3 linked regions of the Ovis aries genome follow. Each later gene encodes a partner of the first gene's protein in a complex. Links are inferred from orthologs where the notes say so. Each region holds a gene or a part of one and is shown on either strand. Other genes may lie near its edges.

The links.
Region 2: SNRNP40 (region 1) and DHX16 share a complex: the UniProt entries of both Homo sapiens proteins name them as parts of the minor spliceosome. The link is inferred for Ovis aries from reciprocal best matches to the Homo sapiens genes SNRNP40 and DHX16.
Region 3: SNRNP40 (region 1) and ARMC7 share a complex: the UniProt entries of both Homo sapiens proteins name them as parts of the minor spliceosome. The link is inferred for Ovis aries from reciprocal best matches to the Homo sapiens genes SNRNP40 and ARMC7.

Annotation. Positions count from the first base shown.
Region 1 is NC_056055.1:236,108,837-236,112,474, reverse strand, and holds part of SNRNP40 (U5 small nuclear ribonucleoprotein 40 kDa protein), read right to left. Parts: intron 901-3,638; coding exon 780-900; intron 1-779. UniProt on the Homo sapiens protein: Required for pre-mRNA splicing as component of the activated spliceosome. Component of the U5 small nuclear ribonucleoprotein (snRNP) complex and the U4/U6-U5 tri-snRNP complex, building blocks of the spliceosome.
Region 2 is NC_056073.1:27,451,446-27,455,813, reverse strand, and holds the start of DHX16 (pre-mRNA-splicing factor ATP-dependent RNA helicase DHX16), read right to left. Parts: upstream 2,894-4,368; 5' UTR 2,738-2,893; coding exon 2,531-2,737; intron 1,194-2,530; coding exon 943-1,193; intron 860-942; coding exon 697-859; intron 404-696; coding exon 347-403; intron 1-346. UniProt on the Homo sapiens protein: Required for pre-mRNA splicing as a component of the spliceosome. Contributes to pre-mRNA splicing after spliceosome formation and prior to the first transesterification reaction.
Region 3 is NC_056064.1:55,673,334-55,677,407, forward strand, and holds the start of ARMC7 (armadillo repeat-containing protein 7), read right to left. Parts: upstream 2,894-4,074; 5' UTR 2,637-2,893; coding exon 2,546-2,636; intron 2,449-2,545; coding exon 2,305-2,448; coding exon of another isoform or gene 2,292-2,304; intron 1-2,291. UniProt on the Homo sapiens protein: As a component of the minor spliceosome, involved in the splicing of U12-type introns in pre-mRNAs.

The DNA of each region.
Region 1 (3,638 bases):
AGTGTGGGAGACCTGGGTTCAATCCTGGGGTTGGGAAGATTCCTTGGAGAAGGGAAAGGCTACCCACTCAAGCATTCTGGCCTAGAGAATTCCATGGACCATGGCCTGTACAGTCCATGGAGTTGCAGAGTTGGACACAACTGAGCGACTTTCACTTCACTTTGAGGGTTAGGCACAGTTTCCATTACAAAATGTTAGTGAAAACATTTTAGTATACCAGAGGGGCATTTCCAAACTCTTCCAATATTAAGCATTTAATCCAAGATGTCATCTTCCTTTTCTGCTATGGAAAATATATCTTCCCACCCAACAACTCAAAAACAAGTGAAGAAAGAACAAATATCTTAGTGTAAATCCAGAATATTGAGGTGTTTTAATGAGGACCTCTTGTCACATCAATGGTTTTGGAGTAGGGAGGGAAAATAGACTGGCAGAAAGAATACAACTGAGATATCAATAGGTCTGTTGATCATCTGAGCTTGGTACTGTCTACATTATCAGTATAGAAACTGATGCCCAGAAAGAACAAATGCTATGTGTAAAGATGTTCAGGGATTAGATGGAAGATTTGGGACTATCATCCTGGCTTCTTGACCATCTCTTCTAAAGCTTTTTCTATTACAATCTGTTTTCCTAATTGCCTTGGTGGATACCTGCAAGCCATCCTGGGCTCTTTCCTTGGACTCTCTTTTACCCCAGCACATATTTCCAGCACCTAATGCCCATTTTATTTAGGTTCTACAGCGACTGACATGGACAGCTTTCTTTTCCAAAGTTACCTGTATTGTCCATTGCATTGGACAAGAGGTAAGAGCCTTCAGAACTTAAACTCAGGCCAGTCACTGAATCTGCATGACCTCTCATCGTGTAGGTCAGCTTATTTTGGCGCAGGTCCCAGACCTACAAAACAAAACAAGGTGACACTCCCAGAAATCAAATTGTGAACAGCAAAGAAACAGTTATTAAAGAGTCAACTGCCTGGGAAAATTGGTATCCCTTCTTAATCTGCCTCTGGGCCAAGCACTCCTTTACCACAAAATCAAAGAAGGAAAAACTCCTGTCTTTCTAAAAACAGAGTTAAAGTTACTAAGTTTGGCTAGAAAAATATAAACTAATGACTGCCAAATATTAAGTTTAACAAAAAATAAGAGGATTTAAAGAGGCTATTTTTAATTCATAACAAAATGTATTAGGAATTAAAAAAACAAAGTAGCTTTTAAAACACAATCTATGATTCTCTGCAACTAGGAACAAACTATTACAAACAACTATATAAAAACAGTTAAATGACTTCATTTGAAAACGGCATTTTGATTGCATGTAAAATGTACAAAACAGATATTTGCATATTAGCAAAAACAGAGGTTTAAAAATGTTCGTTTAATGTCATAATACATATACACACACATACATCTGATGGAAAAGCATATTTATTAAAAGAAAAATAAATTGTAAGTTCATGGTTTTCTGGTTAGGAAAGGTAAGGGAAACAGTTCAACTGAAAATAACCTAATGTCAAACAGAAAAAAATAAATGGTTTCATACACACACTGTAACACAACGAGCGCTTATGTTAGTGTTTGAAGACCAGAGTGGAATGAATGAGGATTTAGGGCCAGACTGAATCAGTCACTGCAACTTAAAGAGTTATGTATTATATTATTGGGCCACTAACCCTTCTGAGCCTGTTTCTGGTCTGTAAGATGGGGATAACATTTACTTCTTAGGGCTTCTGTGAGGATTACAGATAGAATACTGGTACACAGCAGGCCCTCTAATTGGTTGCTATTATTAAGCAAATCCTAAAAACACTCTGAAGATCGAATGCAAAAATGTTTATAAATAAACTATTATTAAGCAAATAAGAAAAATATAAAACAGTTATTTATAATTACATAAAAGAAATACATTAAAGGCAATAGAAATGGTCTGGAATGTCATATGGAAAAAGAACAGCAGTTCTGTTAAGGTCACTGTTGTTATACAAAATTTCATCCAAATTTGATTTAATATGGCCACAGTTTTTCTAACTTAAACAAATTTTCCGCTGTCCCTTTAAGCAAGCCTTCCTCATCTAGAAATGAGTTTGTCAAAGCAATACATATGGCAGACAACTCCACTTTCCCCATCAATAACTCATTCATGTGTGGAATCCAACACACTTCATACACAATCATTTTTGTGTCAGGATGTTTGCTGCCTCAATAATCAGGAAAGCTTGAAGTGGCTGACATTTTTTGTTCAAGCCATTGTTCCTTCTCTTCAGAGAAGGCATTGTTGAAACCTTTAGCTCTTTAGGAGAATAAATTCATCATCCTTCGCAGCACTTGGGAGCTATTTCCAGACTTTCCACTTTGGGGCCTGCACACATTGTTTTGTATACCCAAAATGTATCTGGGATTTGCCAGAGGAAGAGTGAGTAGGGCAGTAATTTAAGCAAAATATTTTGCAGATGTCCTAATCAGCTGTTCAGTGATTGTGGCAGGCACTGTTGGAGATAAAAGAAATGTTCTGTTCTCAAGGAGCTAAACAAGTGATAAGAGGCCTGCACAAGGGGCAATAGCCAAGAGGGCAGAGGGATTAATGTTGCCATGGTACATGGATGGAAGTGAGAAAGGGAAGGTTTCACAAAGAATAAAGCACTTGAGCAGGGCATGGAAAAAGAATTTACTGATTTATTGCCATCCCATGCAGTTTGTGGAATCTTAGTTCCCCGATCAAGGACTGAACCCAGGTCCTTGGCAGTGAGAGCACGGAATCCTAACCAGTGGACTGCCAGGGAATTCCCAAGAAGTACTTCTTTATTTAGACAAAGCAGAAGGTTATTTCCAGGCAAAGATGATTCATGAAAGCAGAGGGACATGAAAAAATTGCTGGGTTATAGGGAAATGGGCACAGAGGAAGCAGACAATGCCTGAGTGATGGGCAGGCAAAGGGCAGCTCACGAAAGGTTTTGAATGACTGGCTTGGATTTTACTTCCCTCACTGGGGAGCCACAGAAGGGTAGAGTAGTGGAATGAGTTGATCAGATTCTACAAAAGAGCCTTCTGGCCCAAATAATTGGAAAGGATGAGAACACAGATGGGACTACATTAAAAAAAAATAAATCACCAACTGACCTCCCATTCTGACTAGAGCTCAAGATTACAAGAAATGCCAACCAGATCTTCAAGCCACCAAGTAGAAGCACATTTTCTTCTTTTATTCATTTCCCTCTGACTCCACAATCCTATACCTAGGAAGAAAATCTCAAGAGCCCAACAGGAACTGTGTGTTTGTTTACAAATATAATCAGAATTTGCTCACTCCAGATTTTATGAGGGGCTTCCATTCTCTATTTGTTCCTCCTGTCCCAGAACAGGCAGTGCTCTCTGAGAGACTGAGAAGCAAACAAAAACCAGGCTCTTCAGGAGTGCTTCCTAACGTTGTGAGACAGTGCACGATTTGTCAAGCAAGCCCAAGACTGGTAAGCCCCTGTCTGCTTAAAGGATACTTGTTAATTGAGCAGAAGCAATATGAGTTGTAAGACTACTGGCCCTCTGGAGAGTCCTGGCTCTACCACAGACTATTTGATCTTGGCCAAATCACTTAACTTTTTAGGGCTTTGCTTTAGTCACCTGTACAATAAGAGAGATAAT
Region 2 (4,368 bases), on another chromosome or scaffold:
TGGTGTGCACAAGCTCAGCGGTCAGCACATCCCTGGGCAGTGTGACCCCTGCCCTGCCCCTGTCCTCCAGCCAGCCCCTTGACCTTCCAGCTGCCTTTTGAGTACACCTCTTTAAGTCCCAGGAACAGGGAAATACTTCCCTCACTAACATACAGTCTGATCTGATCCTAAGGAGTCAGAGGGTTTCTGGGCCACTTCCTTCCCACTACAGTTTAAGTCTATCCTTAGCTGGCGCCTCAACCAGAGACCCAACAGCCCCACCACACCTCCTCTGCATCTTTCCTCCCTACCCTAACCACTCCATCAGGAAGCCTTTCCCTTTGTCTTCCTGGGCACACGGACTCACCATGGCTTTCCGGTCTTCCTCAGCCATCTTGAGGCGCTTCTGAGCCTCTTCGTAAGCCTAGGAGAAGGCAAGAGTGGTCAAAGTCCCCGTGCCCACAGCCATTCCTGTCTAGAATCACAAGGATCACTCAGATGTTCCCTAGCACAAAGAAATGTACCCCCTTCACTGAGGAATCTCTGTGGTTACAGGTTCAGCAGAGAGCCACCTTAGCCCAAAGACCCAAAGAGATGACCAGACTACTGGAGGCGGCTCCTTGTCTTCCCAGAGATCACTATCTGCGGTCACACCCAACCTCAGATCGGATCCAGGGGTCTGCCTGGGGACTGATGGGAAGTGCTGCTCCAATGCACCTTCTTGTCTGACCGCTCCAGGACGTTGCGAGTCCGATCCTTGTCCCGCTGCCGAACCCGCTCAGCGAATGCATCGCGTTCCTCCAGGTCCTGAAGGCGCTCTCGCTCTGTCCGCTCCCACTCATCCTCCGACTCCGGCTTTTCCGTCTGCTCTTTCTTCTCCCTGCAGCCCACCCCGGAGGATTAACTGAGGGCACTCAGAGGCTTCCTGTTCCATCACCCTCTCGCCCCCTACTTCTGACTTACCCTGTCTTCCTCTTTCCTTTCTCAGAAACTTGTTCCTCCTCCTCGTCTTCCTCTTCCTCCTCACGTTTCTTCCTGAGGTGTTTCCGTTTTTTCCGCTTCTTCTGGACACTGCTCCCAGCCCTGCCCACAGTCTCCTCGCTGCTCTCCTCACTGTCCTCCAACAACATATAAGAGCGGTTCTTTTCCAGCAGGGCTCGGGCCTCTCGCTCGGCTGCCCGAGCTGGCTTTTCCACCACTGCCTTCCGTGGGACCTGTCGGGAGAGAGAGAAGTCAAGGGGATGTAAGCAACTCCTGATCTCTGCCCACCTACTCTGCCCAGTTCCTAATTTAAGGAGTAACTGATCTTAAACCAGCTGTCATTCTGTCTCTTCCCCAAGGCTTCACACCATGTCCATCAGCCCGAATGGGGTCTCTCAGTTCCTAAGCCTATCCCATGCACCCCCTGCTAGGTACTAGAGATATAGGGGTAAAGAGATAAAACTTTCTGCCCTCATGGACTTTACATTCTCACACTCAATTCTCAACTGCTCAGCCTCTGTTCTTCCCGATGACTAAGTCATTCCTACCCAAGGACTGGACAAGGATTGTCCAGATTGTTTTGCAGAGCCCTGTCACGGGCCAGCACTGTAGTGGCCTCCAGAGATACCCTGGTGAACGGATTAACACAGAGCTCCTACCCTCACATCAAGTACGTTCTCATCTTTCACCAAGTGCAAATGGGACAGCCACACCAAGTTATCTGCCATGAACAAGTTCAACACTTTTAGTCTTACTGTATAATTTCTGAGCTCTTGTTCTGCAGGTTACAATTAGATGGTATGAATACAAAGACAAAAATCACAGTCTTGCCTTCCAGGAGCTCACCATTACACCTTTACTCTTCCCCTTTCTTTACCCAACAAACTCCAGATAATCTTTGGGCCTGCTTTTCTCGATCACAGCCACACCACTTCTACCCTCCCACAACACTGCCCACACATCTCTTCTATAGACTCACTCTTCGAAGGGTGGGCAACACCCAGCATCACCCGAAAACTTACAAGATTTGTTAGAAATGAAGAAATGAAGAAACCATCCCAGACCTACCGAATCGGAATCCTCATTTTAACAAAAGCCGTGGATGAATCCTAAACCTGTTTGAGAAACACTGCTCTGTAGACCCTTAGTTCAGTTCAGTTCAGTTCAGTCGCTCAGTCGTGTCCGTCTCTTTGCGACCCCATGAATCGCAGCACGCCAGGCCTCCCTGTCCATCACCAACTCCCGGAGTTCACTCAGACTCACGTCCATTGAGTCCGTGATGCCATCCAGCCATCTCATCCTCTGTCGTCCCCTTCTTCTCCTGCCCCCACCCAAACCCTCCCAGCATCAGTCTTTTCCAATGAGTCAACCCTTAAGCCCTCCTCAACCTTCTCCACGGAAGTGGTCGTCCAGCCCGAAAGTGATAACTGCTTGCAAACTGAGCTTAATTCTCCGTTGGACAGTTAGCCCAAGTGAGCCCAAACTCCGTTGGACAAGTAACCTGGGGGCCCCTCCCCTGCTCCACCCACTTTCCCGCCGCTCCCACGCCCGGTCCCGCCTCTCCCAGCACCTTGTTCCAGAGTCTCAGGGCGAAGTCCCGGGCCGGCCCACTGAGGTCCAGGGTATCGGTGTCTCGCAAGCGCTGCACGAACTCCTCTGCCGAGGCACAGCGCTGCGCGGTACCGATCAAGAACTGGGCCACGTGCCGCTCGCTCAGTCCCAGCACCGAGTGCAGCTCGTCTTGCACCCAGCGCTCCAGCCCCGCCGGTGTCGCCATGGCGACAACACGCTCCCTATTCCCGGCCCTGAAAGTGTCTCCAGCTGCCACGTCGGCGGCCGGGCGGGTCGGGGGCCTAGAGCTCCAGGATGGAGCCTCTGCTCCGGAATGGAGCTGCCTGAGAACCGAGGGGTTCGGTTTCCGATAGTCCAAAACAATCTTCCTGGACCGCTGAGGCCGGAAGTGGCTGCTCTTTTCCGGCCTATGCACTACGGTGGCCGAGCGAGTTCAAATCTCGCGTAATTGTACGCGAAGCTCGGAATAAAACATTTTCATTTCTTCCCCTACTGAATTTCTGTTGCCCTCTGTTGATCATTCGTGAGTATTACACCCATTCATTTCATTCAACTATATTAAGAACCTAAAGTGCCTGGTGGCTCAGGTGGGTAATGGCACCCCACTCCAGTACTCTTGCCTGGGAAATCCCATGGATGGAGGAGCCTGGTAGGCTGCAGTCCATGGGGTCGCGAAGAGTCGGACACGACTGAGCGACTTCACTTTCACTTTTCGCTTTCATGCATTGGAGAAGGAAATGGCAACCCACTCCAGTGTTCTTGCCTGGAGAATCCCAGGGATGGGGGAGCCTGGTGGGCTGCCCTCTATGGGGTCACACAGTCAGACACGACTGAAGCGACTTAGCAGCAGCAGCAGCAAAATGCCCGGTGGCTCAGGTAGGAAAGAATCTGCCTACAATGCAGGAGACCTAGGTTCTATCCCTGGGTGGGGAAGACCCTCTTGGAGGAGTAAATGGTAGCTCACTCCAGTGTTCTTGCCTGGCGAATTCTATGGGCAGAGGAACCTGGCCTACTACAGTCCATGGGGTCACAAAGAGTCGGACATAACTGAGCGACCAACACTTTCAGTGTGGGCCAGGCACAGTTTTAGTACCCAGGGATATAGCAAGGAACAAATCAGAAACAAATCGCTTACTGAATTTACAGTGGCAGAGGGTTGGGGGTGGGGACCAGCCTGACAGAGACAAGATAAAAATATAAAATACTAAGTTATATGGAGCCAAAAATAATGCAAGGTGTGTGTGGGCGCTTGTGGGGTGGGGCATTCAAATTAGAAGATCAGGTCCATGCTTGTTACAGATCAACTAATTAGGAGTGACCTTTGCTAGGACCTTCTGCAAGACATGAATACAGGTTAGGCTTATCAAGGACTCCAGGCAGATGAAAACTCAAGATGTGGAGAACAAGCAAAGGTACCCTCTTTTCTTGGTGCTATCTCATAATGTTATTTTAAAAGATCTGCAAACTAAGAAATATGCAAATTGTATTCTGCTTTTTTTTTCTTTTGCTAACAGCTTGAGAAAGTCACTGGTGTCTGCTTAATTTTAAATAAGCAGAACTTGTTGCTTGACTGCTGTCTGGCCTCTGGTTCTGCTTCATACTTGTACAATTAATTGGATTTATCTGACACTGTGTTGGGAAACTAAACATTTGTTATTCCAACTAACAGCCACAAGTAGTTCCACATCATTGATGTCATGAGTGCACTGTTTTCTGTTTCTGAAATGGACTGTGAACACCCCTGGCATCTCAGAGCTTCTTACTTCTGCTTTCCTGGGTCAAAACTAATTAGGGTCTTTACCTAATTAGCTACTAATGTGAGTACTCTCCCTCCAT
Region 3 (4,074 bases), on another chromosome or scaffold:
TGTTCCCAAACATGAACCCCCCTCCCACCTCCCTCCCGACTGCTCTTTTTAGCAAAGTTTTCTGCAGAGTCGAGACCCTAGTGGTCCAGCAGTTAACACTCCACACTGCCACTGCAGGGGGCATAGGTTCGATCCTTGGTCAGGGAACTAAGATCCCACGTGGGAAGCACCCCCCTCTACCTCCCAAAATAGCTTCAGTTGGAGGAGATATGTCATGGCCTTTTACCATTTACCTCTGTGGTCATCCTCCCCAATACCCATATCCCAGTCTAATAACGAGAAAAATGTCAGGCAAATCCCAACTGAAGGAAAACCTACAAAATACCTGACCAGTACTCCTTAAAACTGCCAAGGTCATTCACAAAAAGAAAAAGTCTAAAACCAGCAAAGCCCAAAGGAGCCTAAATCTAACATAAGATCTTGGATGGAATCCTGAGACAGTAAAAGGTTATGAGGGAAAAAGTGACGAAATCAGAACAAAGCATGGACTTCAGTTAATAACAGGGGTACCCAGGTGGCTCAGTGGTAAAGAATCTGTCTGCCAGTGTAGGAGACGCAGGTTCTATCCCTGGGTCAGGAAGATCCCCTGGAGAAGGAAATGGCAACCCACTCCAATATTCTCGTCTGGGAAATCCCATGGACAGAGGAGTCTGGCAGGCTACAGCCCATGCGGTTGCAAAGAGTTAGACAGGACTATTGCTATTGGCTTATTAATTGTAACAAGTGTACCATACTAATGTAAGATGGTAATAATAAGGAAACTCGGTGTGTATACATAGAAACTCTGTATTACCTTCGCAATTTTTCTACTGTTATAAAATACAAAGTTTCTTTCAAAAGAGAGCGAGAGATTGAGATCTAACGTACATAACAACCAGATTAAGAGCATGGATCCTGGTTTATACAGAACAACAAAAAATGTCCGCTTGGGAACTATTAGAGAAGTCTGCCTAACTGGGTATTTGGTGACAATGGAATTATTAAGTTCATTCCCTATGAAGATAAGACTCCTTTCACTATGCAGAGAAATGTTATTTTTTAAAGACACATGCTGCAGAAAGAATGTTGGTTTTGTTTGCTTTTTGCAGGATCTCAGTTCCCTAACCAGAGAAGGCAATGGCAACCCACTCTAGTACTCTTACCTGAAAAATCCCATGGACGGAGGAGCCTGGTAGGCTGCAGTCCATGGGGTTGCTAAGAGTCAGACACGACTGAGCGACTTCACTTTCCCTTTTCACTTTCATGCACTGGAGAAGGAACTGGCAACCCACTCCAGTGTTCTTGCCTGGAGAATCCCAGAGACGGCGGAGCCTGGTGGGCTGCCGTCTATGGGGTTGCACAGAGTCAGACACGACTGAAATAACTTAGCAACAGCAGCAGTTCCCTAACCAGGGATGGAACCCATCGCCCCTACAGTGGAAAAGCAAAGTCCTAGTTGTTGGACCACTAGGGAAGTTCCAGGAATGTTGGTTTGCCCTCAGAATAAACTCCAAACTCCCACCCAATGCCTAGATCTGAATCCCTGTAAACTGGTGCGAGGTGCTCTCTAATTTAGCAGCACTAAATCCTTCTCTCTCATTTAGTACCACTCTGGGCTTCACTCACCACAATGGTGCCACATCAGCCTTCCTTCTGGCTCCTCCTGCTCTGGGGTCTTGGCCCGGCCTGTGCCTTCCCGCCAGGGCCAAACCAGAAGTAGTCCCTTCCTTCCCTTGCTCTTCTTCATCAGCCTGTTTTCTTCAGTGCCTCAGCTTCTTTTGTGTGTAAACCTTGTGTCTCTCTCTACTAGAATGTAAATTCCCTGAGGGCAAAGATCTTTTCCCAACTTGTTGGCCATCTCACCAGCATTTAGAACAATACTTTGCTCACAGGGTACCAGCCCAACAAACACCTGACGTGTGAATAAATCAATAGGTCTGAGACCAGAACAACTACAGGTGCCATAAGCCCTTCCGAGTGAACGCTATTTCTCTTGATGGTGAAACATATAAGATAAAGAGGTTTTAAAAGAGCGCTCAACTCCCCCGCCCCCACCCCGCCCCTCCAAGGGGCTTCAATCCATTCCCATTTATGATCTTACCTCTAACCGACAGGGAAGGTAGACAGGTAGAAATGGTCCTGGGCGTGGGTTCCAGGCCAGACTCAAGCCACCCGTGAACCTGTACGCTGTGTTGGCCGCGGAGGCATTACAGACACTACGAAAGTCTGCCTTCGCTGCTGAGAGACGGCCGAAGAGCCCTTTCCCAACAACTCATTTCTAACTCGTTACCTCATCAGGCACCTAGGAGAGCGCCCCATCCTTACCAATAGCAAACTCCACCAGGGTCTCATTCTCCTCCGACAGCGAATCGAGGAATAAATCCAAGACCTGCAGCTGCCGCAGATACTGGTAGTTACCGGGGTCATAGGCGAAGTTGGCGAGGTTGGCCAACACTTGCTCCTTGGCGTCTGCGATGGAGAAGCGGGCAGTGGCGCCAGGGTCGGGGCGGTGGTCGCGGCTGGACCCCGGCCCAGCCCCCCCTGCCCCCCACCCCGAGACACTCACCTTGGCTCTGCGTCTCCTGGAATTCCGTGACCAGCGCCTGCAGATACCCCAGCCGACCGACGTGGGGGTCTACCTTCGGCTTCTGGGCCATGGGCGGGCGGCGAGGGGCCCCGGGGAGCGGGCGGGAGAGTGTGGAAGGTTGAGGCTGGGGCGCGGGGCTAGGACCCCACCTGGCTTCGCGGGGCCGGGGAGGGGAAACGAATTCTCCAGCAGCTTGCAGCTGAGACTGGGCTGTGGGAGACGCGGTGGGGACTCAGAACCTCGTAGGAGTTGGGACTGAACACCTAAGTCGGGGACCAGGAGACAAGGACCCACTCTCGCGCCGCGTGAGGAAGGCCCGTCCCAGCTGGGCGGGACGTTCGGCTTGGTTCCGGACTTCCGGGGGAAGCGGCACTTGGCCACGCCCAAAGGGCCAAAGGGGCGGGGCGACGAGGCGAGGGGCGATGGGCGGGGCCGTCGCTGAGCGTGGGCCCGCTTCCAGCGTTTTGTCTCTCGCAGGCGGCGATCCGCCTCTTGATGGAAGTGGTGACTGAAGCCTGCGGTTGTGTTGAGGCGAGCCCCAAGGGCCCGTAGGAGCTCAGAGGTGCCGGGGGTCGCCTGTGTGGGGGACTGTCGGGGTAGAAGCACCTTCAGATGCACCCGCGCTTGGCGATGGGCCGCAGTCCCCGCCCCTCCACCATCCAGGGACGCCGTGGAAACGCGAGCGCCTGCTCCTTGTGTCCCCTCTGTGGCTCTTCTGACACTACCTTCTGGTCGGCTCTTCCCAAAAGCCCAGTGAGGACTTCCCTGGTGGTTCGGTGCTTAAGACTCTGCTCCCAGTGGAGGGGACACGCTTGGATCCCTGGTGGGGGAACTGTGACCCTGTATGCCCGAGGCGAGGCCAAGATGAAAACAAGTCAGCGCGCCTGGTATCCTCTGCTCCCCAGTCCCGAGCTGAGCCTGCCAGGTGGCGGGGCGCACCCGGGGCAGCACCATCGGACCCCAGAAATACTACTTTGGTGGCTTTCTGGGTTGTGGGGAGCCCAGAATGCTGAAGCCCTCCTATCTAGTCCTTTCTCAGTTTCTCAGGAAGGGGTCAGGTGACAGAGCACCAGGGAGGAAGGTGGCCCTCTTGGACTCCAGCGTGTTTCAAAATGTGGGGGTGGAAGCGGCTTAGGCTGTGAATTTCTGGAGGGCAAGGGCCTTGCGCAAGGACAGTGACTGCCACACTCCAGCTTGCCACAGCCCCACTGGGAGCAGCCCCCACCTGGTGGGCTCAGGTGGCTGTGATCAGCCCCAGCCCTATGCACACACCTGGGGCTTGGGGACCCTGGCTGCTTCTTGCAGGGTAGTGTCCCCAGGCCCCTCACCAGAACCTTCACATTTTAAGGAGAGCTGATTCGACCTGGGGAAGTCTATCTCAGCCCAATGTGGCCAGGGGGCTTCTCTGCTCCTGTCTGGATGGAGCAGTAAAGATCTAGGGACAGGACAGAAGTGGGCTCTACCCCACACTGGTCAGGAACTGCTCTGGACCCTCTCTAGAGGAATCC